Canis lupus familiaris: one gene and its partner. The protein of the gene in region 1 purifies or fractionates together with the protein of each later gene. This does not show direct contact. Links are inferred from orthologs where the notes say so. Each region holds a gene or a part of one and is shown on either strand. Other genes may lie near its edges.

Region 1 (11,030 bases):
ATTTCATGAGCAATAATGATAATAGTAATAGCAATAATAATCAAAGAGAAAACATAGAGCACTTACCGTGCACCATGCACTGGACAAAATGGTTTGGTTTTATTCACCCCAAACCTATAAGGTCGATACTACTGTTTTCCCCATTTTACAGATGGGGCAACGGAGACACAGAGAGGTTAAGTGACTCAACCAAAGACAACACAAGCACAAATCTCTCTCTGTACAAGGCTTCCAGTTTCATAGATTTTATATATACCTGAGATGATATTGGGAACTTGTAAACTTAACCTATGATTTGCTCAAAAAGTAGACTACTACATACTGAGGCCTTGTTAGTGTTATTTACCCAGATGGGTGAATGGAAGACATTTCAGTGGGCCTTAGGAAAAATTCATGACTTCTTCCTGAATCAGGGTGAAAATAAATTCCTCATTGCTTGTATTTACTCCCAAATCATGTGAGATTCAGTTCGTACTTTCAAGCTTTAACTTTAAGGAGTTATTCATGTCACACAGGACAGATCCACCGTGATCAGTTCCCCTCTGAAGGGCAACTCTGCTCCTCCTGATAAATCCAGGACCTTTTCCCTTCAAGTCATTGCTCTGCTATCCCCTGGGACCTGATGTCCCTGCCAAGGGACTGTTGGATCACCTTCTTACCTGGTGGGAAAGGGGAAAGCCCAGACCTGGGAGTGACTTCTGACTTTTGCAGCTCTTAGCCACATTCTTACCTGTGTTCCAGGAAAGCGGGGACATGTTGCCTAAGGCTACAAGGCCACCGGCCCAGCTATATGGTTTATTCTGTTCAAGTGAACAATCTTAATGCCGGGGGTGGGGGGGTGGAGGAAGCCAGCCTACACAGCTAAGACTCTCCACAAAACCAAACACACTGGGATCACACCAAAGGATACAGGGGTAAAGTGGCAGTCTGTGGCATGCTTAAAGAACCTAAGAACAAGAAAGCGGGAACTCACTAGAAAACCAACGTAATTTTTCCCTAATCTGCTGATACTAGGCAAGGTGGGATTTAAACCCTAAAAACCTGGGCTCGCAGTCAGGATAGGCTGCATGCAGACCATAGAACCATCATCACCTGTTAACTGAAGGGACCTCGGAAGTCTAAGATTCTGTCCGATAATAAACGAAGGCACTTGATTAAAGCACCTTTTAAGTGGACCTATAGCACGTGTACGTTAGGTGGTCTTGGAGGAAGATCAGAACCTCTGGATGCAATTCAGTGGAGAGGCGGACAGGTCCTCCCCCCCACCCCCCCAGGATGCCTCACGACGGACAGGCATGAAGGGGTCAAATTTAGAATGGGAGCACAGTTGCCTGGGCGAATGGAGACCCAACTAGGTGTAGTCTGCCGAAGTAAGAAATTCACAGCGATAGTACAAAGTGAGCACCTCTTTCTGTAGACTAGATAGGTGGCCCTGAAAAGGGCCTTTGGTTGCAAACTGGGATTTCCTGGAGCTGAACTCACAACTCAGCCGCCGAAGCCGTAGAGGGTGCGGCCCTGGCGCTTGAGCGCGTAGACCACGTCCATGGCCGTGACCGTCTTGCGCTTGGCGTGCTCCGTGTAGGTGACGGCGTCCCGGATCACGTTCTCCAGGAACACCTTGAGCACCCCGCGGGTCTCCTCGTAGATGAGGCCCGAGATGCGCTTGACGCCGCCGCGCCGGGCCAGCCGCCGGATGGCGGGCTTGGTGATGCCCTGGATGTTGTCGCGCAGCACCTTGCGGTGGCGCTTGGCGCCGCCCTTGCCCAGCCCCTTCCCGCCCTTGCCGCGACCAGACATGACCACACCAGAACCTCCCGAGCCTGCACGGCACTACCGGCTGCCGCCACGCCGCACTTTTATAACAATGTGACGGACCTGTTTGAAAACCGCAAGCGCAGGGGCGGATCCACACTCCGTTCCCGCCCATCGCCCTTCTAGCCTTTGCTCAGACTGTGCAGACCCGGAAGGCCGGGCGCCCCAAGCGGAGTCTGTGCCGGGGGAAGGGGATTCCGTAAATCCTCTCGAGTATGTGATCCGTGCAATGGCCTTGCAGCACTTGCAGCCTCTATGCCGGCCACCCGCTATGCCGGGCACCAATGCATACGCTTTCCACAAAGACCTCGTCCTTCACATTTCCCAAACAAGGGCAGAAATATTTAGATCCTCCTCGCTGTTGTCCCTAGGAGAGGTTTTCAATAAAATTTGAAGCTAATCCTATCTGTATTGCTAAGATTCTGTTCGTGTTATCGACCGATGGGTGTCCGGTCCCTACGGAGGGCGGCTGGCTGGGATGCAGGCTGTCCGGTCCCTGCGGAGGGAACGGACAGAATCGCCTTAAACATTTCAAAGTCAAGTCAGGTTCCACACTGAAGGCTGCGCTGAGCATATGCCACAGTGAGGAGAGCCTGGTTCTGCTGTGAGTCTCCACTCTGCGACTTCAGTGTATACTTAGTTATGCACAGCTTACAGGTAGCGCGGTGTCCGCCTCCACGTTCTGGTGCTCCGGCCTTTGGCATGACCTAGAACGCGGCTCTGGACACAGCCTGCCGCCGTGCTACCTACAGGACCTCGGGCGGGCTATACTCGCTTCTTTTCCTTTCCAAATGTATAAGAAAGTCTAAGTCATAGAGCATTGAATTTTCAAAGGGAAAACCCATGTAAAGCGTTTACTATCCGCAAATATGCACTCACAAAATGATTATGATATATTATTGTGGATGTTTCTCTGCTCCTTCACTCACTATTCGCTCCTCGGAATAATGAGCCTAACAGAGCATCCTAGTTTCCTACAACTTTCTTTCCAGAACTCCTTAAAAATAATAAGCACTGAAAGATTGAATTCAGCACTAATCCGTTTGTGGAGTTCTAGTTGACTTTGTGGGGATTTGGCTTCTCCCCAAGGGTCTGTGAGGAGGACATAGTTCATTAAAGCTGATTTCTGAGTTTGTGGGCGGTGCATGGGAAAAATGCCCGACTTGTGTTCTTACTCTCTGATACAATGACAGGATTTAAGACATCTAGGAACTTGTATAGAACATAAGTCCATCTTTATCTGTACTATCCCTCAATTGAAGCTTAGCATTTCTTCCATTTACGAATATAGGCAGCAAACTTCGATGGGCGGGACCTGTCCTGTGTGCATGTCACCTAAACTGAAGCTCTCAGTGTTTTCAAGACCATTTAGACACTTTATTCCTTCTACACTGTGTTCATTCTTGCTCACAAGAGCTATCTTGTGACTCTAACGGATTAATAAAAAAACACATCTGTTAGGATGCCTAAGTGGTTGAGCATCTGCCTTTGGCTCATGGCCTGATGCCTGGGTCCTGGGATCTAGTCCCACATTGGGTTCCCGGCAGGGAGCCTGCTTCTCCCTCTGAATATGTATCTGCCTCTCTCTGTGTGTCTTTCACAAATAAATAAATAAAATCTTTAAAAAGAAACCACACACATCTGTTAACACTTTACAGTTTGGGGATTTGATAAAGGTATTGTAATATTAATTCTTTCCCATTATAATCCAATGTATATTCTCTTAAACTCTTAAAAACATTGTCCTGGCAAGGGGCCCATAAGCCTTATCAGATATATAAAGAAGCCCTTGACATGAACAAAGAAGGGTCAAAGGGATCTTCAGAGCCTTGAAAGACTCTGGGTTTTGAAAATGTGCACAGAGAAGCATTAGGAAATGACATGAATGTTGGCATGAAATGAATACGTAATAGTAACCTGATGGAGGTGTGTAAGGGTAAATGGCAATAATTTTCTCCTCTTAGCAACAGGAAAGAGATTATAGGGAGAGTGTAGTACAGTGGAGACAGGTGCAAAGGCAAATACCCACCAAGTGCCCAGAAATACAAGTTTGATATTTAGGCAAAAGGACCAATTTGAAGAGACAGTCTTCGAAGTTACTCACATTGACGTGACTCATAAGCCCATCCATGAAGGTGATAGGGGTAGTACCTTGGAGAGACTCCCTACACTGACATGTCCAAGAAACAGCTCTTCCTTGGTGGCACTGCGTCTCTTTGGGTATAATCTTGACTCTCCTATTTCTTGTATGGACTAAATACTGTCACAGCCTTATGACTCAATGTCTCTGCAATTCCTGGAGTATTAATTATCAAAGAATAATTATCAGATTATCAAAGAATAATCTTCAAATGAGTTTCAAAACCAACTATAATGAATCAAAACCACTTTTTTTCAAAACCACTTTAAAAGAATTAAGAATATGTAAGCTCTATAAAAAGTGAATACACAAAGTAAAAATTATTTATACTAAGCTGATATCTCACCCCTCTTTATCATGTTAATATTTAACCTATAGTGACATTAATTTTCATGTTTCACTTGGATTGACTGAAAGGAATAATCAGTCATTTCTTGATTTTGAGGGGATAATAAAGGAAAGTGAAACCTTCCCCCTCTTGAGCTTTGCTGTGTTTCCTTCTTTCACTGTCATAGTGGAACACAGATTGGTTCATGTTTCAAAATAAATATAATATGTTAAAGAGAAAAAAGGAATTTGTGAAGAAAATCACATTAAATCACTTCCTACCATAAACCTATTTCCCATTCAACAGTAAGCATAAGTTGTAATGTGATGCCTTCCATAAATGAAAAATATACTAGTGAATATAAAACACACTTTTAAAAAAGGTCCCCCTCTCAAGGGAATGCCATAAGTGTGTGCATGTCTGTGTGTGTTGTGCATGTATATAATCTTTGTTACTTTAATACCTTCCAAATTTCTCTTTCTCAAGAATGGCAGATTTCTATACCCAAACTTGTACACATTTTAGTAACTGATCTCTACCAAGAAAATCAATATAAGATAATATTTTCAACTAATAAAGGTACCCAACTTCTCTTATGCCACTTCTAAATCTCCTATCATCATCTAAAACAAACATAAGCCAAACAACCAGGTCAGCAGCATCATACTTGCTGCATTTCCCATTTTTCTAGACAAATATTGAATGCAGAAACCCCAAACTAACTCTGCAAATTGTTACTAGAAGCTATGATAAAGGTTTTACAGACAAAATAATGACCGTTCTTGTCAGAATTAGCAGTTCTTCCAAGAATCCTTTACTATCATTCTTGTAGAGAAATGGGGAGAGAGCCTGTGTTATTTCCCTTCATATGAAACAGGTTTTCTGGCTAAATCTCGATGAGAACTAAGCAGCTGTTGAACATATGAGAAGCCAAGAATGTATAGAATAACCCTAGAGAGCAAGTTATTGAAAGCACAAAGCGAAGAATTTATATTTTAAAGGAAAATCAAGAAGTTGTCTCTCTGACCTGTGAATCTCTCAGGGTGTCAGGGGCTTTTGAAAAGAGCTGAAACCCAGATGATGAAAACTGGAAGAAGAAAACACGAAGATGTCAAAGCATGAGGGGTCCCGCTTCGCTATAGAGTGTAATCAGCGTGATTCCTCCCCAGGAAATTTTAATTTTTTTGCTTTCCCCAACTGTAACAAACACAATTCCGGGACAGAGCTGACACCAGGCTGCTGTCAAGTTGGAGGACTGAGCTCGGAGCCAATCAGCGCGCGGCGTCCTTGTTGTATATATACACACGCACACACGCACGCCGAACCAAGCAGCTCAACTCCGAGACTCGATTAATATTATTTTTTCCTTTCATCTTCAGGAACCAAAACCCACTATGTCCGAGACCGCTCCTGCCGCGCCTCCAGCCCCGGCCCCCGCGGAGAAGACGCCGGTGAAGAAGAAGGCCCGCAAGTCCGCCGGCGCAGCCAAGCGCAAGGCGTCCGGGCCCCCGGTGTCCGAGCTCATCACCAAGGCGGTGGCCGCGTCCAAGGAGCGCAACGGCCTCTCCTTGGCCGCGCTCAAGAAGGCGCTGGCGGCCGCCGGCTACGACGTGGAGAAGAACAACAGCCGCATCAAGCTGGGCCTCAAGAGCCTGGTGAGCAAGGGGACCCTGGTGCAGACCAAGGGCACCGGCGCCTCGGGCTCCTTCAAGCTCAACAAGAAGGCGGCCTCCGGGGAGGCCAAGCCCAAGGCCAAGAAGGCGGGCGCGGCCAAGCCCAAGCGGGCGGCGGGGACGGCCAAGAAGCCCAAGAAGGCAGCGGGGACCGGCACCCCCAAGAAGAGCGCCAAGAAGACTCCGAAGAAGGCTAAGAAGCCCGCCGCGGCCACCGTCGCCAAGAAGGTGGCCAAGAGCCCCAAGAAGGCGAAGGCGGCCAAGCCCAAGAAGGCGGCCAAGAGTCCGGCCAAGACCAAAGCCCCGAAGCCCAAGGCAGCCAAGCCCAAGGCGGCCAAACCCAAGAAAGTGGCCGCCAAGAAGAAATAAGAATACAGAGTAGTTTAGGATCTTTTTAAAGGCTCTTTTCAGAGCCACCCAAACCTCTGAAAAGAGCTGCGGCACTCTGCGGGGAAGGGGGCGTGGCGGGAGGGGAGACTGGCGAGCCCGGAGCGGCACCTACAGGGGCGCCTGTTAAGTGCACACGGGCCTGGGGAGATTTCAAATGGGACAATGATTTCTCCTCTAGTCTGGTAAGTGCGCTGGTTCAACCTAAATTGGCCCGTAGTCCACACGGCGCAATAGGACTAATATACATAGGGGAGAAGTTACTTGCAAAACGAACTTTGAAACCGATTTGCCACTTAATAGAAAGTTCTCCAGCCACCGGGGATCTTTATACTGTATTGGTAGAAAACTATGAAGTATCTCGATGGTCTTTCCATTATCTTAATCATGGAATTGCGCCATCTCCTCAACAAGCACTTGCCCACCAGCTCCAATACCTAGGACGTCAGTTTGGCCACCAGTGGCCACCAGGCTTCCGCTGCGCAACACCCATCCTAGTGGAGGAAGTTTTCTAACAAAAGCTGTCCACACACACTTCTCCGTTACACTACCTCAAAGTTAAAATACATATTGGCGTTGAAGAAGACTTTATAGTAACCTTTGGTAGCCAAGTCTAGACCTTCTGATTGGGTCGAAGCACAGTAACGAGGCAGCCAATGAAACGCTAGAATTGCAAGTACCTTTTACATTCGTATTTGTGACGACACAGTAAAATTAATCCAATCGTAAATGATCTTACTAACCTCATTCGAATGCCTCCTCTATAAATAAACGGGGTCTTACGGTGGCTTATATTTTCCTCCCGCTTTACTGAACGTGTGGTATTCAAGGTCACTATGCCAGAACCCACCAAGTCCGCGCCGGCCCCGAAGAAGGGCTCCAAGAAGGCGGTGACCAAGGCGCAGAAGAAGGACGGCAAGAAGCGCAAGCGCAGCCGCAAGGAGAGCTACTCGGTGTACGTGTACAAGGTGCTGAAGCAGGTGCACCCCGACACGGGCATCTCGTCCAAGGCCATGGGCATCATGAACTCGTTCGTCAACGACATCTTCGAGCGCATCGCGGGCGAGGCGTCGCGCCTGGCGCATTACAACAAGCGCTCGACCATCACGTCCAGGGAGATCCAGACGGCCGTGCGCCTGCTGCTGCCCGGGGAGCTGGCCAAGCACGCCGTGTCCGAGGGCACCAAGGCCGTCACCAAGTACACCAGCTCCAAGTAAACGTGCCAAGTAAGCGTCTCCTTCCCAACCCCAAAGGCTCTTTTCAGAGCCACGCATGCTTTCAACAAATGAGCTATAATGCTTTCTAAAAACTATTCTCAAATGCACCCTAATCAAGTTTACTCTAAGATCGATACATCGCTACGGCTCTATAATTTTCTCTTAGGATTGCGTAGCAAGGATGCCACAATTCCCGGTCGATAACCATACCCATCATAAATTGAGCGCTCGCTATGCCCAAAACCGGTTCTGTACAACCATTATTCCTTAGTTTCACAACACTAAACCTCAATTTTAAATGAAAATGCCATTTCAAGTGTACAGCTCTCCTTCCTGTGCGCAGGCTCCAAATTCATCGTGACATTCAAGGACTTGGGTAAGAACGGTTTCCCCAGAGCACAAAGCATGCTGTAAAAACTGTTTTGCTCAGAGCTTTTCTTTTCCTTTTCAGCATATAGATATGCAATAATGAAAACGAGCTTAAGACAACATGAGTTTTCATGGAAATCTTACACAGGCTTTTCTGGCTTGCTAGCTTTGCAATAATGCCCATTTCTGCTGGTGGGGGAGGTAGGGTGGGGATCAGGGAGGAGGAGTCTGTGCTGTATCCTAAAGGCGCAGACAGACAGGAAAGGGAACCTGTCCTGACTTGGAAGGGCTTTCAAATCCTGTCAGCTACTATAGCTTCTCTCCTACAAAGTCCTATTGCATTGCCGGTCTTCTTCCAGCATCCTTAGCTGGGAAGACCCCAGGGTCACAAGAGAGAAGCCCACTACTCAATCCCATAAAGTGTCTGACTGGAGAGGCAAAAGTTACCCCAGGACTGAGGCCCCCTTTCCTCCCCTGGCCCCTTGCCCCGTGTCCCTGAGAGGCGAGGACTGAGAGGAGGTAGAAAGGGAAAGAAAGCCCTTCCCGGGAGGATGTGGCTTCTGCTGCACAAGGTCAGATGGCATAAAGGGTTTCTGCTGCTGCTGGGAATGGATTATTGTGGGGAAAAGAAATCTGGGGGAAAAAGCTGGGGAGCTGGGAGGAACTGGCCAGGGGGTAAGCAGTCAACAGTTGAGAGTTCACCCAAGAAAACGGATGAGATTATCTTTCCAGGTGTAGCTGACACACTCACCGGTTCCATCCTCAGGGTAGAAGGATGAACTAGAAATGAGCACACGACCAGACAGCACATGGGCACCCCCACACACCCACTCGCCCAGAAGATGGCAACAGTGTGTGCTCACCCTCCGTGCTGAGCAAGGTAGATTGTGCCACCCACAATTCCGACCACCACTCACTTGCTTCTGGCACTGACATCACAGGGATTCGGAATACCCAGGCTGAGGATTAACTCTGAGATCTCCCAAGCTGGCTTTGTACCCCTGAGCACCCGCTCAAGGCAAATACAAATCCTCTCTGAAGGAATAAGCTTCATTTTTGGTCTCAGCAAATCCTCCACACATAAGATAGCAAAGAAAATGAAAGAGCAGCTTCACAACCAAAATCAACACAGGATTCAACAAGACAATGTAACCAACAAGAAGAGAAGCACACAGTGGAAACAAAAGGAGTAAAAAGAAAATGAACAGATACAAACTTCAAGTTGCTAACTTGAATATCTTTAAAAAGGAAAAGGAAAACACTAAGTGAAATATGCTGAGGGATTAAGAATACAAAGAATTTTCCAAAAAGAGTCGAAAGAACCAAATACGACTTCCAGAAATGAAGGTGTGGATATACACGTTAATTTACATTAATCATATGAAAATTAAAATTAAAGGCTTGCTAAATGGACCAAAAAAATCAATAGGCTCCAGATGAAGAATTTTCATGAATTCTGTAAGCAGACCTTATTTATCCAAAATGCAGGGAGAGAAATGTAAAAGTGAGTTTAAGAGATCTGGAATTAGTAGTAAAATTGTCTGCCATGTATCTAATCATGGCACCACAAGAACAACCAGAGAGATTGATGCTGGTGTGAGCTTCCAATGATCATGGCTGAGAATTTTTCAGAGTTAATGGATTACTCATGTAACTCAAAATCAATAAAATAGGGTAAAACTCATACACCAAAACGGACGTCACTCTGTCACACTGTGAACCAAACCCCATAAATTCTCCCAACAAATGTAAAGCTAGTTTTCTAATCTGTTCTGCTAGATGGCAATAGACTGAAGCACTGTTATAAATTCCTGAGAGTGGGAGGATAATTGGCAAATAGATTATTTACATGCACTTGATATCTATCTGATTACCAAATTTTGCAAAACCTAATCAATATGTGATGATTTAATGGACTGTTACATATAGTACTATCATTAGCAGACCAGAAACTTTGATATTTTTTCCAATAACTATTTCTGTAACTATTTTTATCATGGTATTGTGTTAGTTAATGTCACACGCTATATGCCATGTTAAGGCATCACCGTCATTTTCTTCCTTTTCACTAAAGTGGCTTTAGTAGTTCCTGACTTGTTAAAAACCTGTTTGCTTGCATGCATGGATATGTATATAATCTGTGTGTGTTGGTTAGTTTCCTTCTAAATATATTTTTAAAGGTTTATTATGAATGATGTGTGAATTTTCGGTATTTGATGAAATCAAGGGCTTTTCCTCCTCTAGCCTGCTACAATAAATTACGAGTAGATTCCCTAATGCTACCCTATACTCGTATTCCAAGGCCAAATCTTCTTTGGTCATTTTCTATTAGTATCTTAAATACTGGCTGCGCACATTTTAGATTTCCGGGGGATTTTTCCTCCTCTCTACACACAAAAAATCATTCTGTGATTTTCCCTTTTCGGTTAACCTGTATCAGATTTGGTCAATAAGACTATGGTAACTTTGAACGCTTAATTGTGAGCCTCTCCTCCATCTGCTGCTAGGTAACAAACTACCCCAAAACTCAACAGCTTAAATCAATGAAATTTATTATTTATTTTTTGTGGGGGGCAGGGAGGGATCAGGAACCTAGAAGTGATTTCCTGGGAGGTTCTGGCCAGGATCTCTCATAAGGCTGAAGTCAAGATGCAAACACGCACAGCAGTCACCTGAAGCTTAACTGTGGGTTCCCTTCCAAGGTGGCTCACTCCCATGCCACCCAAGTTCCTGTGGGCTCTCAGCAGGAGGACCTCCGATTCTAGCCACATAGACCTGTCAGGACGGCTAACTGGCTCTCTTCCACAAAGACAAATCATAGAGAGAAGGGAGGAGGAATTTGTCACAGAGTCTCTATGACCTAGTTCCAAATGTTACACGCTGTCACTTCTGCCACTTTCTATTAATTAGAAACAAGTCACTTAAAAAATGGCGTATACCCAGAAGGGCAACTAGGCTCCACCTTTCAAGGGAAGGATAGCACATTTGTGAACATACTGCGAAACCAACACATTGTCTTCTTTATGCTTTAAATACTTGATTGTATAAAAGTATTTGTGCTTTAGACAGTAGACAGAAGTCAACTGTATAATCACTTGGACCTA
Region 2 (11,737 bases), on another chromosome or scaffold:
TCAGAATTCCATCTTGCCACACTTTTGACTTCTTCATCTTTTGATGAGTATACAGTACCTTATTTTCAAAAGTACAAAAGAAATGGTTTCTATTTATATGTATTAAATATTATACATCCTTATACCCTTCCCCACATATAAAAAATATTTAGGTATCTTTTATTGAAATAAAAGACACCATAACAATAACAACAAAACATCAGGGCCCCTGACGGGCTCAGCCGGTAGAGCATACAACTCTTGACTCAGGCTTGTACATTCAAGCTCCATGTTGGACATAGAGCTTACATTAAATAAATAACAAAACATCAATTTCAAAAAACAAAACTCGGTAGTAAAAGAAAAAACAGGGTAGAAAGGACACATAAAATTTAAGGAGAAAACTGAAAACTAAACAAAAAAAATAATTTGGGGCTTCTCGGTCATCAGTGGGAAGGAAAAAATCTGTTGGGTTACACATAGTCATAATCTATACTCAAAATGTAGTCCAGAGACTCCTAGAGATTTCCAAGACTTTTTTCAGGGGTCTTAAGGTCAAAACTATTTTCTTGATGCTATTTGTCTTTTTACTCTCATTTCTTTGGGAATGCATAGTCATCTCCCAGGGTTATGTAGGTGCAATGTTGCAAGATTCAATTTCAGACTGAATGCAGGGGTGGATCTAAGAATTTAGCTGTGTTCTATGAAATCAAATGCTAAGGGGATTTGCAAAAAAATGTATATAGCAATGCTACTCTTTTCAGTGTGTTTTTTTCTGTTGTTGTTTTGGAAAATATAGCTATTTCCATTTAAAAAGTGATTTATGTTCAATATAACAGGCTATTTTTAATGAATTAACAAATACTTTTTATATTTGTTATAATTTCTCATATGAAAGACATCAATAGATATAAGCCCCATAATCAAAATTCTCTGGGGTAATATTTTGAGTATGGGGATCCCTGGGTGGCTCAGCGGTTTAGCGCCACCTTCAGCCCAGGGCATGATCCTGGAGACCCGGAAATGAGTCAGCCCTGTATGGAGCCTGCTTCTCCCTCTGCCTGTGTCTCTGCCTTTCTCTCTCTCTCTCTCTCTCTCTGTCTCATGAATAAATAAAATCTTTAAAAAAAATTTTTTTAAATAGAGGATTAAAAAAAGAAATAAAGGAAATAGTGAAAACTGGTATACAACTCACAATAAATTCCTGGCTTTCCATTATTTCTTCTAAAATTATAAATCAGTCTGGTCCAGAATATAGTCGTGGTTATTCAATTATTTATATGATCTAAAATGAAAATAGACAAGAAATATCCAACTCTGATGAAAATAATATCAAATTCAACTGTTTCCTATAAACTCTTTTTTTTCCCCATAAACTCTTGACATGAGAAAGGAATAAGAATTCTAAGACTGGGGATCCCTGGGTGGCGCAGCGGTTTGGCGCCTGCCTTTGGCCCAGGGCGCGATCCTGGAGACCCGGGATCGAATCCCATGTCGGGCTCCTGGTGCATGGAGCCTGCTTCTCCCTCTGCCTGTGTCTCTGCCTCTATCTCTCTCTCTCTGTGACTATCATGAATAAATAAATAAAATATTAAAAAAAAAAAAAAAAGAATTCTAAGACTATGTGACTACCAAGGGAAACCCAGGTGTAATCAAATTATCTGATACTAAGCACACAATAAAAAAGTGACCCCATCCTGTGGAAAATGAATTTGCCAAGTAAAGAGAAAACTAAGTAAAATATATGAAATAATTAGCAGTGTGCAAAGCTCTTTTCCAAGTGCCCTAACATGCATCAGAAAATGATCCCTCTTCCCCCAACATTTAAATTCCTTATGGAAAGAGCTTCAACTTCCCATTTTCTGAAATGCCACGGCCACCACAAGACAGCCCCCCTTGTGTTTTGAATTTTTCCTTTTATGTCTTTAAGTCAATACATCACAGTATCCAAGGACCTAATACACAAATTTCCTGTGTGAGGAACATTCTTTTCAGTATCATTGCAACAAGTACTGTATTTATCCTATGCTACTAGATAAAACTGTTATTGTGGGCAAATTTGGAAATCTAAATCTACTGTTGGTGAACTGAAGAAGTAAACAGAGATCCCAAAGAAAAAAAAAATTTTCTAAAGAAGTGGTTTCAAAGATAGGATTCCTGGACCAATAGCATCAGGACCACCTGGTAACTAGTTAGAAATTCAAGTTCTTGGGTCCTACACCTGACCTTTTAAATCAGAAAGTCTGAGGTTGGACCCATACTTTGTTTTAATATGCTCTGAAGGTGTTAGTGATACATGCTCAAGTTTGAGAACACAGGGCTAAAAGACCTAGGAGAGATTCAATAAAACCATAATTTACAATTCTGGATTCAATTCCCCCTTCATACATATACCACATACATATTATGTATAAATTACATATATTTATTTAGTACTTGCCAGACACCTAGGTTGAGGTACTAAAATGAACAAATACAATTCCTAATCAAGGCATTCTCAGTAAAGCATGTTGATAAACAGTATTTACAATAAAACATGACAGAAATAAGCATAGGAGGGGCACCCAAATGGGTCTATGGAATCAAATAAGGCTTCCCCCTAAGAATGTAATGTCTAAGCTGTAAACTGAAATAACCATAACCAAAAGAAGATGCCAGGAATGTATTTCCAAAAAGGAATCAATGTATAAGGTCCTGTGAAAGACACACCAAGGCATGACCAAGGAATTCAGTTCAATTAAGGGGTCAAGTTAAGACAATGAATAGTGAGTGAGAGAGAAGATTGAAAAAAATGAGCAATAGGAGTCAGAGGGCCTTCTATGCTATGCCAAGTTGTTTGAATTTTCTATAAAGGGAGTGCAAATGGTAGGGTTTTAAGAATAAGATTACATAATCTAACTTGGGTTTTACAAAGATCGCTCTGGTTGCTGATAGGAGGCATAAGGGAGGGTAGCCCTGGTGGCGCAGCGGTTTAGCGCTGCCTGCAGCCTGGGGTGTGATCCTGGAGACCTGGGGTCGAGTCCCACGTTGGGCTCCCTGCAAGGGGCTTGCTTCTCCCTCTGCCTGCATCTCTGCCTCTCTCTCTGTGTGCTCTCATGAATAAATAAATAAAATCTTTAAAAAATAAAATACTAAAATCTTTAGAAGAGGCCTAAGTCCTACGTTCAAAGGAGTAAAAAAAAAAAAAAACAAAGGAGTTAAAATACCGTTTACCGTTAAATAGTTGAAATGGTATCAGCTAACAACATGGCATTTAAGTGAAAAGTAAAAACAAAAAAGAAAAAAAGAAAAAATCTGGGGACGCCTGAGTGGTTCAGCCCTTGAGTAGACCTCGGCCTCCCGCTCAGGGCGTGATCCCGGATCCAGTCCCGCGTCGGGCTCCCTGCATGGAGCCTGCTTCTCCCTCTGCCCGTGTCTCTCTCTGCCTCTCTCTCTCTCTCTCTCTCTGTGTGTGTCTCTCATGAATAAATAAATAAAATCTTTAAGAAAAATTTTTTTTCTAAAAATCATCTACGTCAAATGTTGACCCACCTCCAACGGGTAAAAGTTCAACGTGCAAAGTTTTAAAAGCGGTAGGGATACCTCAGATGTCTGCAATAATTATATAACCACAGATGTGCACATTACCTCCCCAAAGACATTACCCATACGTCCCTATGCTGCTTTATACATTCATATATAAAATTCTGTGTTCTCCATAAAATATGAACCAGTCTTATTTATGTTTAAGTACGAGGAGATGTTTTTGGTCTTTTTATTTTGGAACAAGCAAGATCTTTAGAATCCCTAAATAGTTCAGATTTAAAAGTTCCAGAGTCTCAAACCCAGTATCCTGTTAAGAAGTCGCTCAGTCCAAATGACCCAGAGAAGCCCACATTTCATTGCCAAGATAATAATTACCATGATTCTGTGTAACCGAATGGCAGTGAGACTTGACCCTCTGTCAGGCCTAGATAAACACAAAGAGCAAAACTCTCTCTGGTCCTTACACTTATTGCCGGAAGTGCAACGCAGAGGCTGGAAAGGCTGTCACTCCCCACACCTGGTTCCAAACAGCACCAGCAACGGCTCGCTTCCGGCGCAATAGAGCCTCTCAACACTTTGCCCTAAATTGCGACGCCGCCTCTCGTTCACATCCCCTTTCCTATCCACCTTCACTCCCAGAGAAGCAGAGGACTTCACCGGTCCGTAAAACACACGTTCGAATTTCTCCCGCGGAAGGCTGTGACGTCATCAACCCGGGACCGCACGGGATCAGGACCCACTACTCAGCCCGCCCACAAGTACCGACGTTTGCAAACCGCCAATCAAAACTTCTCGTGGTCTGTGAGCCTCCTCGGCCAGCCGGGTAACCCGACGCCCCGCCCCTTGCGCCAGCTCACGCCCGTGACGCAAGCGCCGGGCGCGCCGTCTCCGTCCTCGCGCTCGCCTTTTCGGAGGCGTACGGGAGAACCGTGTCGCCCACCCTATGACGCGGAAACCAGCTCTATAAGGATCTGGAGACGGAAAGGTTGGAGGACGAAATCACCGGCCCAGTATTTTGGGAACTGGACAGAGTAAGTTGGAAGTAAACTGTAGATCGTGTCGCTCAGGTTGAGTGAGGCTTCAAGTCTTCTAAGTCCTTTGTCACGCGCTCCATTCTATCATCTGTCGGCCCTTTCACTTCGTCCCCTCCCACAAGCCCATCGGTTTGCTCGTCCTGTTCCTCTGCGCACGCGCAAAGGTCCTTCAGCGGCCCTTGTAGTTCCAGTTTTCGGAGATTGGGGGCGCATATCGTCCGGCTTTAGGAGATCGGGGGCCCGCCCGGTATTGGGCAGCGTACTTGGGAAAGGACTGGTGTCGACGGGGGGCCGTAGCCAGAGGTGAAATCGCCGGGCCTCGTAGATGTGAGCGTTGGCGGCCAAACGATAGCGAGTGTGAGCACTTAAGTTTTTAAAGTTAAGTCACTTTCTTATTTTCGGGATTCTAGTTTTTGTCATCAGAGAATCGAAAAATCCAGTTACGGAAGGGAGCTAACAAATTATAAATGTCAGTGGAGTGTACTGAATGCGTTAATAAATGTGCTTGAGGGAAAATAGATGAGGAGGCAATAAATTAGGGGAGACGTGGTGGTGGAAAGCTGGAGAGAGTAAGATGCCATTTAACGTGGGCCTTGAAAATTGAATAGGAGTTTATAAGGCAAGTAAAGACAAGACTAATTGAAAGAACAGGCACGGTGTTCTGGTACCGTTGAATGGTCAGCCATGGTAGAACAATGACTTAACGTTTTTGACACCGTTTCCTCTAAAAATGGTAAAGGCTATGGATGAGCATCCTAGGAAGATGCATGCACGTCAAGACATTTTACGTATGATTTTGCTGGGAAATTGTGGAACACCTTGAAATGGCCAAGAAAAAAGATACTGGATGTCTTCTCTAGCTGGCTCTTCCAGGTTCTCTCTTTCATTATCATTGAGCTATTTTACATTTGTGTTAGTTGTAGGAAACGATTATAATGGAACTTAAGTCTTGTAGTTAATCAATTTTGTAGTTATGGCCCTAACCAGTTTTGCATCTATTAACAAATTCATTTCAGTGTTCCTGATTGCTTAGATCTTTTAATTCTCCTTTGAACTAGTTTTTTAATAGAATATTTTAAAATTTATTATTTATTTACTCTATTTTAAGTAGACCCCATGCCCAATATGGGCCTTGAACTCTCAACCCCGGGATTGAGTCGCGTGTTCTACTGACTGAGCCAGCCAAGTGTCCCCTCCAGAACTAGTTCTTTTGTTTTGTTTTTTTTTTTAAGATTTTATTTATTCATGAGAGACACGGTGAGAGAGGAAGAGACAGAGGGAGCAGGCTCCTTGCCGGGAGCCGAATGCGGGACTCCACCCCCAGACCCTGGATCACACCCTGAGCCAAAGGCAGAAGGCAGATGCTGAACCGTTGAGCCACCTAGGTGTCCCCTGAACTAGTTTTTTAACACTTAACTAATTCCTTGATTAATTTCACTAAAATAAAATATTTGATACGTATTCATTTTATGTTAATTTATATTTAAATTCCTTTGTTTAAAATTTCTCTTTTGGGGCACCTGGGTGGCTCAGCGGTTGAGCGTTTGCCTTTGGCTCAGGTGGTAACACCGGGTTCCTCAGAATGAGTCCCGGGTCGGTCTCCCCACAGGGAGTCTGCTTCTTCCTCTGCCTCTCTCTGTGTTTCTCATGAATAAATACATAAAATCTAAAATAATAATAATAATAAAATTTATCTTTCATCAATTTCACAGAATTCATAGGAATGTTTGAAACTCACCCAAAATTCCATAGACTTTAGGTTAAGAATATCTGGGTCAGAATACAGAATGTATCATGACAGGCTGTAAGAGGTTCTACTAAAAGGTGGGCAGTGTAAGGGAGTCAGACTTACCAGAGCTTGTTCACTTAACTGAGCATGTTTACCCAGCTGATTTTGGCCAATTCACTTAATTTTTAAGCCTCTGTAAAAAAGAATTTGAAAGGAACCACCTAATTGTGATTGTGAGGATTTAAAACAATATTTAAAGTAACTGGAATTGTTACACAGTACCTTTATTGTTTGTGTAAAAGCCCCTGTTTAGAAGCCAATTTGATGTCACTGATTCATCAACAATTTTTTAAACTTACATATTCTAAGAAGGTACTAAGGAATTTTTAATGTTGAAAAGTTTTAACATTAAAATTAAAAATTAGATCTGTGTTTTAGACAAGTTACACAGCTTATGAGGAGGATGAATGACTTCTAGAACGGTTTATAAATTGTTCCCATATTGTAGTGATACTCTTTGTGGAAAATATTGGAGGGAAATAAAAACCATTCCAGAAGTTAAATCGGTAGGACTTGGTGACAGATTGGTAAATGATAAAATAACGATAATGTTACATTTTGTCAAGTACGTGAGAAGGTAGACTCAGAGGATCAAGACTCACGAAAGTACTGCTATGTGACTTCTTGATTTTCATAGCCATTGCATTGGGAAGTGAAATTATACCATATCTTGTTACTTCTTGTATCTTTCTCTTATGTATGAAAATATATTTGATTATCTACAGGATATGTTTCTTAAGATCACAAATTACAGACAAATGTTAGGCACACTAGGCAAGAGTTTTAGAACTTAGTTTTTCAAGTCACGAAAGTAAACCTTAGAGGTCTCTGAGATGAGAGTGATGGAGAAAATCTGGTTTCGGGAAAAATTTGGACTTTCTGCATTTCTACAGTTCTGTCCACTATTTCCTTAGATAGTGGTTCTGACAAAAGGAATTGGAGAGCTGATAGTCTGTCCTTTACAATTTGGAGTTTTTGCAAAAGAGAAGGTTAGCATTGAATCCTCCTGTATTGATCATTTATAGCTTCTGTTTGTATTTTATTTATAATCCTACCCTTTTTTTTTAAGCCTGCCCCCTTTCAAAAGAACTTGAAATGCTAAACACTTTGTAATAGGAGGTCCTTTTAAATATAGTATTTAAGAAATGGTTGGATTGTGATTAAGCTTAAGTCTCTGCCTTTGTAGTTTTTGCATTCTAGTGGGGTAGACAGACAATAAAATTGTAATTCCAGGTAGCAACAAGAGGATACAAGGAAATAAAGTGGTAGGGTGCCTGGGTGGCTGCCTTTGGGTTGGGTTGTGGTCTCAGGGTCCTGGGATGGCCCCTGCCCTTATCAATGGGACTCCCTGCTTCCCCCTTGCTTGTGCTGTCTCTCATATTCTCTATCTCTAAATAAATAAAATCTTTTTTTTAAAGGATACAAAATTGTGGCAGATGGAATGGATAGGGTTAGGATTGGCAGAACAGAAATGTTTTTAGATTGAGTGAAAGGCCTCTTTGAGAAAGTGACATTTATAGAGACCTGAATGAACAGTGAAGTAATCCCTCCAGATGTGGGGAGGAGGGTGAAGAGAACAGCAAGAGCAAAGGACTTGGGGTGGGAATGGCCTTAGCATGTTTAAGGAATGGTATGTCATAGTTGGAGTGAGCCTGTTGGAAAGAATTGTAAGAAATGTAGTTAGATATCCCCAGGCCAGATCAAATAGTGCCAGGCAGGCCACAGTAAGGGCTTTGGATTTCGAGTATGATAAACCTTTGGAGGATTTTGTCCCAGAGATTGGCATGCTCTGATTTACATATTTAAATGATTGTTTTGGTTACTATCTGGAGAATTGATGGTAATTGATGAAAATGGAAGATAATGATTGATTGGAGAATTGATAATGGAAGAGTAGAAGCAAACACAAGTTACAGTGTTCTTGGAGGAGAGTAGGCAAGACATGATAGTGTGGACCAGGTGGTTGTGAAAATAGAAAGTATTCTTATTTAGGATATATTTTATAAAGTTAGAGCTAACATAAATGCTCCTAGATTTGTTGTGGCATATTAGGAAAAGAATTTCAGAATTTTACTCTCAGCAGTGTTATGATCAGTGTCTTCTGAGTTGGGAATACATGGCAAAAAAAATAGGTTTGAGTTGGGTTTTTGTTATTCTACATAAGAGAAACTCTTAAGATAAATAAGTGGAGATGTCAAATGAGCAATTGAGTGATGGAATGGGGGGCAGCAAATGGGAGAAGTCAGCTCTAGAAAATACAGATTTGTGAAACATCAGCATGGAGCTAAAAAGCTTAAAGCCAGAGACCCTCAGAAAGGATATGTGTGGAGATAAGATGGAAACCCAGGACTGAATAGCAAGTAAAGATAGAGCTAACTAGGATGGTCCAGTAAAGGAGATTAAGAAAACTCTCCTAGAAGCCAAATGAAGAAAAGGTTTTCAAGGAAGTTTAACTGCAGATGCCCCTGAGGGGTTCCAGTAGTCCATGGAGATCACGGGTTTCAATTCACTAGAATGGTGGAAAGAGAAGCCTGACAGAATGGGTTTAAGGGAGAATTTGGGTGAAAAATGGGATTACTCAGCACTAAATGACACTTGATTGGTTTTAACACTGGGATGGGAAAGGTCCCTTGGAAAAGAAAAACCCGCTTCTATAGCTTACCAGTTAAGTTCCGCTTCTAAACAGAAAAACAGTTAAGGGGCATCTGGCTGGCTCAGCCAGTAGAGCGTGGGAGTCTTGACCTGAGGGTTGTAAATTCAAGCCACATTTTGGATAAATTGCTGAAAAATAAGTTCTTTAAAAAAAATTTTTTTAAATAATCAGGAATAAATTATTTACTTGGAGTTTGAGATGGAGAATGTCTGAATCCCTTAATCTTACACTTTGACAGTTTGGATTAAAAGTGTAAAAGTTAAAGTGTAGTTTGGTGTAATACAGACATACTATATAGGAAGATAATCTGGCCCTGCAGTAAAAGTGCATCAAAAAGTAAAGCTAGGATTCAGAGGTAAAACAAGGAAAATGAAAAGTGACAATTAAGAGACTGAAGATGGGTCAAATGAAAATTTCCTTAACTGATTGCTAGGTGTTACCCCAAAGTTTGTCCTCTGCCAGCTGACAGTCTCTTAAGCTTTCGGACAATTAAAGGCTAATAATTATCTGAAAGTCTTCCTATATAAATTTACCTTTTTTCAATGAACAGGAATGGAAACTGAAGGTGGAAATCAAGAAAAGGCAATGGAAGAATGCACTGAAAAGAAAAAAGAAGTAGAAAAAAAGAAACGGTCACGAGTTAAACAAGTGCTGGCAGATATTGCTAAGCAAGTGGACTTCTGGTTTGGAGATGCAAATCTACACAAAGATAGATTTCTTCGAGAGCAAATAGAAAAGTCCAGAGACGGATGTAGGTTTATTTTACTGTACAACAAATGTTAACAATGTAGTATATATATTATGGTACACCACATATTATATACAGGATTAACTTTTATTTTCCCACGTAAAACCCTCATAAAGGACACGAATTTCCTTAAAGGACTTAGTGTAGGATGCAACAAATTCAGACCAAGATTTCAGTTACTTTGATAACATCCTAGTTTTTGTGGTGGAGCTCCTGGCAACTCAGGTAGACTCTTGACATCAGGGTCAATTTGAGCATTACTTTGGGCCTAGAAGTCCAGGGTTTTTCTTATGTGCTTACAGGTTTAATTCCTATGGGTTTTATGCATAAAGGCATTTTATTTACTCCAAAACCAAAACTTAGTTTAGGAGTGTGATTAATATTTTATCCAGAAGTCCTGGCTTGTTACTTTATTATATTCTGTAATGTATTAACTTTTGTATTTCTATTAGATGTTGATATATCACTTCTCGTGTCTTTCAACAAAATGAAAAAATTGACCACAGATGGAAAATTAATAGCCAGAGCACTAAAAAGCTCCTCTGTTGTAGAGGTAAGAATTGTTACACAATTTATTTTATCACATAATTATTAGTTTATTAACCTCATGTACCCATTTAAAAGCTGGACTTGGAAGGCACCAGAATCCGGAGGAAAAAGCCCCTGGGGGAACGACCAAAGGATGAGGATGAACGGACAGTGTATGTGGTAAGCCATTTTAAAAAAAAGCTCAGAGATAGTGATCACAGACAAAATTGACAGAAACACTTTAATATTACTAGTAAAAATTTATTAACCTTGAGGACTTGTAAAAATTTATTAACCTTGAGGACTTTACTATTGCTTCTAATTTATTGTAGGAATTACTTCCCAAAAATGTTAATCACAGCTGGATTGAAAGAGTATTTGGGAAATGTGGCAATGTTGTTTATATAAGCATACCACATTATAAATCTACTGGAGATCCAAAGGGATTTGCCTTTGTGGAATTTGAAACAAAAGAACAAGCAGCAAAAGCTATTGAGGTAGGTCCAGAACCTAAAAGGAAAAGCAAAAAAATTAGCGAGTACTTTTAGTGACAATTTAATTGGTTTTTAATTTATTGATTTTTCAGTTTCTCAACAACCCACCAGAAGAAGCACCAAGAAAACCTGGTGTATTTCCTAAGACAGTAAAAAATAAGCCCATTCCTGTCCTTAGAGTATCAGGTAATTTAATTCAATATTAATACTTAAGCATATGTAGTTGAAGGAAAATGAAAACTAATGATAGCATCGTTACAGAAGAAAAGAAAAAGAAGAAGAAGAAGAAAGGCCGAATGAAGAAGGAAGACAGTATCCAGACCAAAGAGTTAAATACGGACACAGATAAGGAGAGTGTTGCTAAAATGAAAAGATCGAGGACCACGTCTGAGGGATCAGAGGTAGAAATAACTGAACCCCAAAAGCCGCCCTCAAAGAAAAAGAAAAAACGGGAAAGACAAGAAGTATCCAGCCTACCTATAGTTAGAACAGGAAAGAGAAAGAGAAGTATTTCTGAAGAAGCAGAATCCCCAACTCCCAGGTCAAAAGTAAAGAAAGTGACTCAGAAAGACATTAAAAAAGAAGATTTAGAAGTTTCCAAAGAAAACAAAGGTATCAACAACATTTATCTTGAGCTTGTATAATCAAAGTTTTCTTAAACTTATGTCTTTCCTTTCTGGCATTTAAGATTTAGAAGTCTCTACTGAAGAGGAAAAGGATACTGGAGATGTGAAAGATGGATCCCTTTTAAAAGCAAAAAGGAAGCATAAGAAAAAACACAAAGAGAGGCACAAGATGGGAGAAGAAGTTATACCATTAAGAGTCCTTTCAAAGTAGGTAGACAATAGAGTTCTGGTGTAGATGGACACCCTCCATCACCATTGCTAAAGTGCAATTCCAATTTGTATTGAACAGAGTTGCATATTAGCAACAGTCATGGCATGTAGCCAAGATCTGCATAAATTATGGGATTAGGATGACTGAGGA

What was found.
Region 2: the proteins of histone H1.4-like (region 1) and LARP7 purify together in Homo sapiens (affinity purification with mass spectrometry; 3 studies listed by BioGRID and IntAct, with this or other methods). This does not show direct contact. The link is inferred for Canis lupus familiaris from reciprocal best matches to the Homo sapiens genes H1-4 and LARP7.

Annotation. Positions count from the first base shown.
Region 1 is NC_049256.1:25,568,206-25,579,235, forward strand, and holds histone H1.4-like, read left to right. Parts: upstream 1-5,617; 5' UTR 5,618-5,674; coding exon 5,675-6,322; 3' UTR 6,323-7,132; downstream 7,133-11,030. Other genes in the region: H4C4 (H4 clustered histone 4), read right to left, coding at 1,486-1,797; histone H2B type 1-M, read left to right, coding at 7,177-7,557. UniProt on the Homo sapiens protein: Histone H1 protein binds to linker DNA between nucleosomes forming the macromolecular structure known as the chromatin fiber. Histones H1 are necessary for the condensation of nucleosome chains into higher-order structured fibers.
Region 2 is NC_049253.1:7,461,174-7,472,910, reverse strand, and holds the start of LARP7 (la-related protein 7), read left to right. Parts: upstream 1-4,357; 5' UTR 4,358-4,535; intron 4,536-4,708; exon of another isoform or gene 4,709-4,917; intron 4,918-9,530; 5' UTR 9,531-9,532; coding exon 9,533-9,731; intron 9,732-10,180; coding exon 10,181-10,281; intron 10,282-10,352; coding exon 10,353-10,436; intron 10,437-10,588; coding exon 10,589-10,753; intron 10,754-10,842; coding exon 10,843-10,936; intron 10,937-11,011; coding exon 11,012-11,362; intron 11,363-11,438; coding exon 11,439-11,583; intron 11,584-11,622; exon of another isoform or gene 11,623-11,690; intron 11,691-11,737. Other genes in the region: protein ZGRF1, read right to left, coding at 1-58, 1,175-1,195. UniProt on the Homo sapiens protein: RNA-binding protein that specifically binds distinct small nuclear RNA (snRNAs) and regulates their processing and function.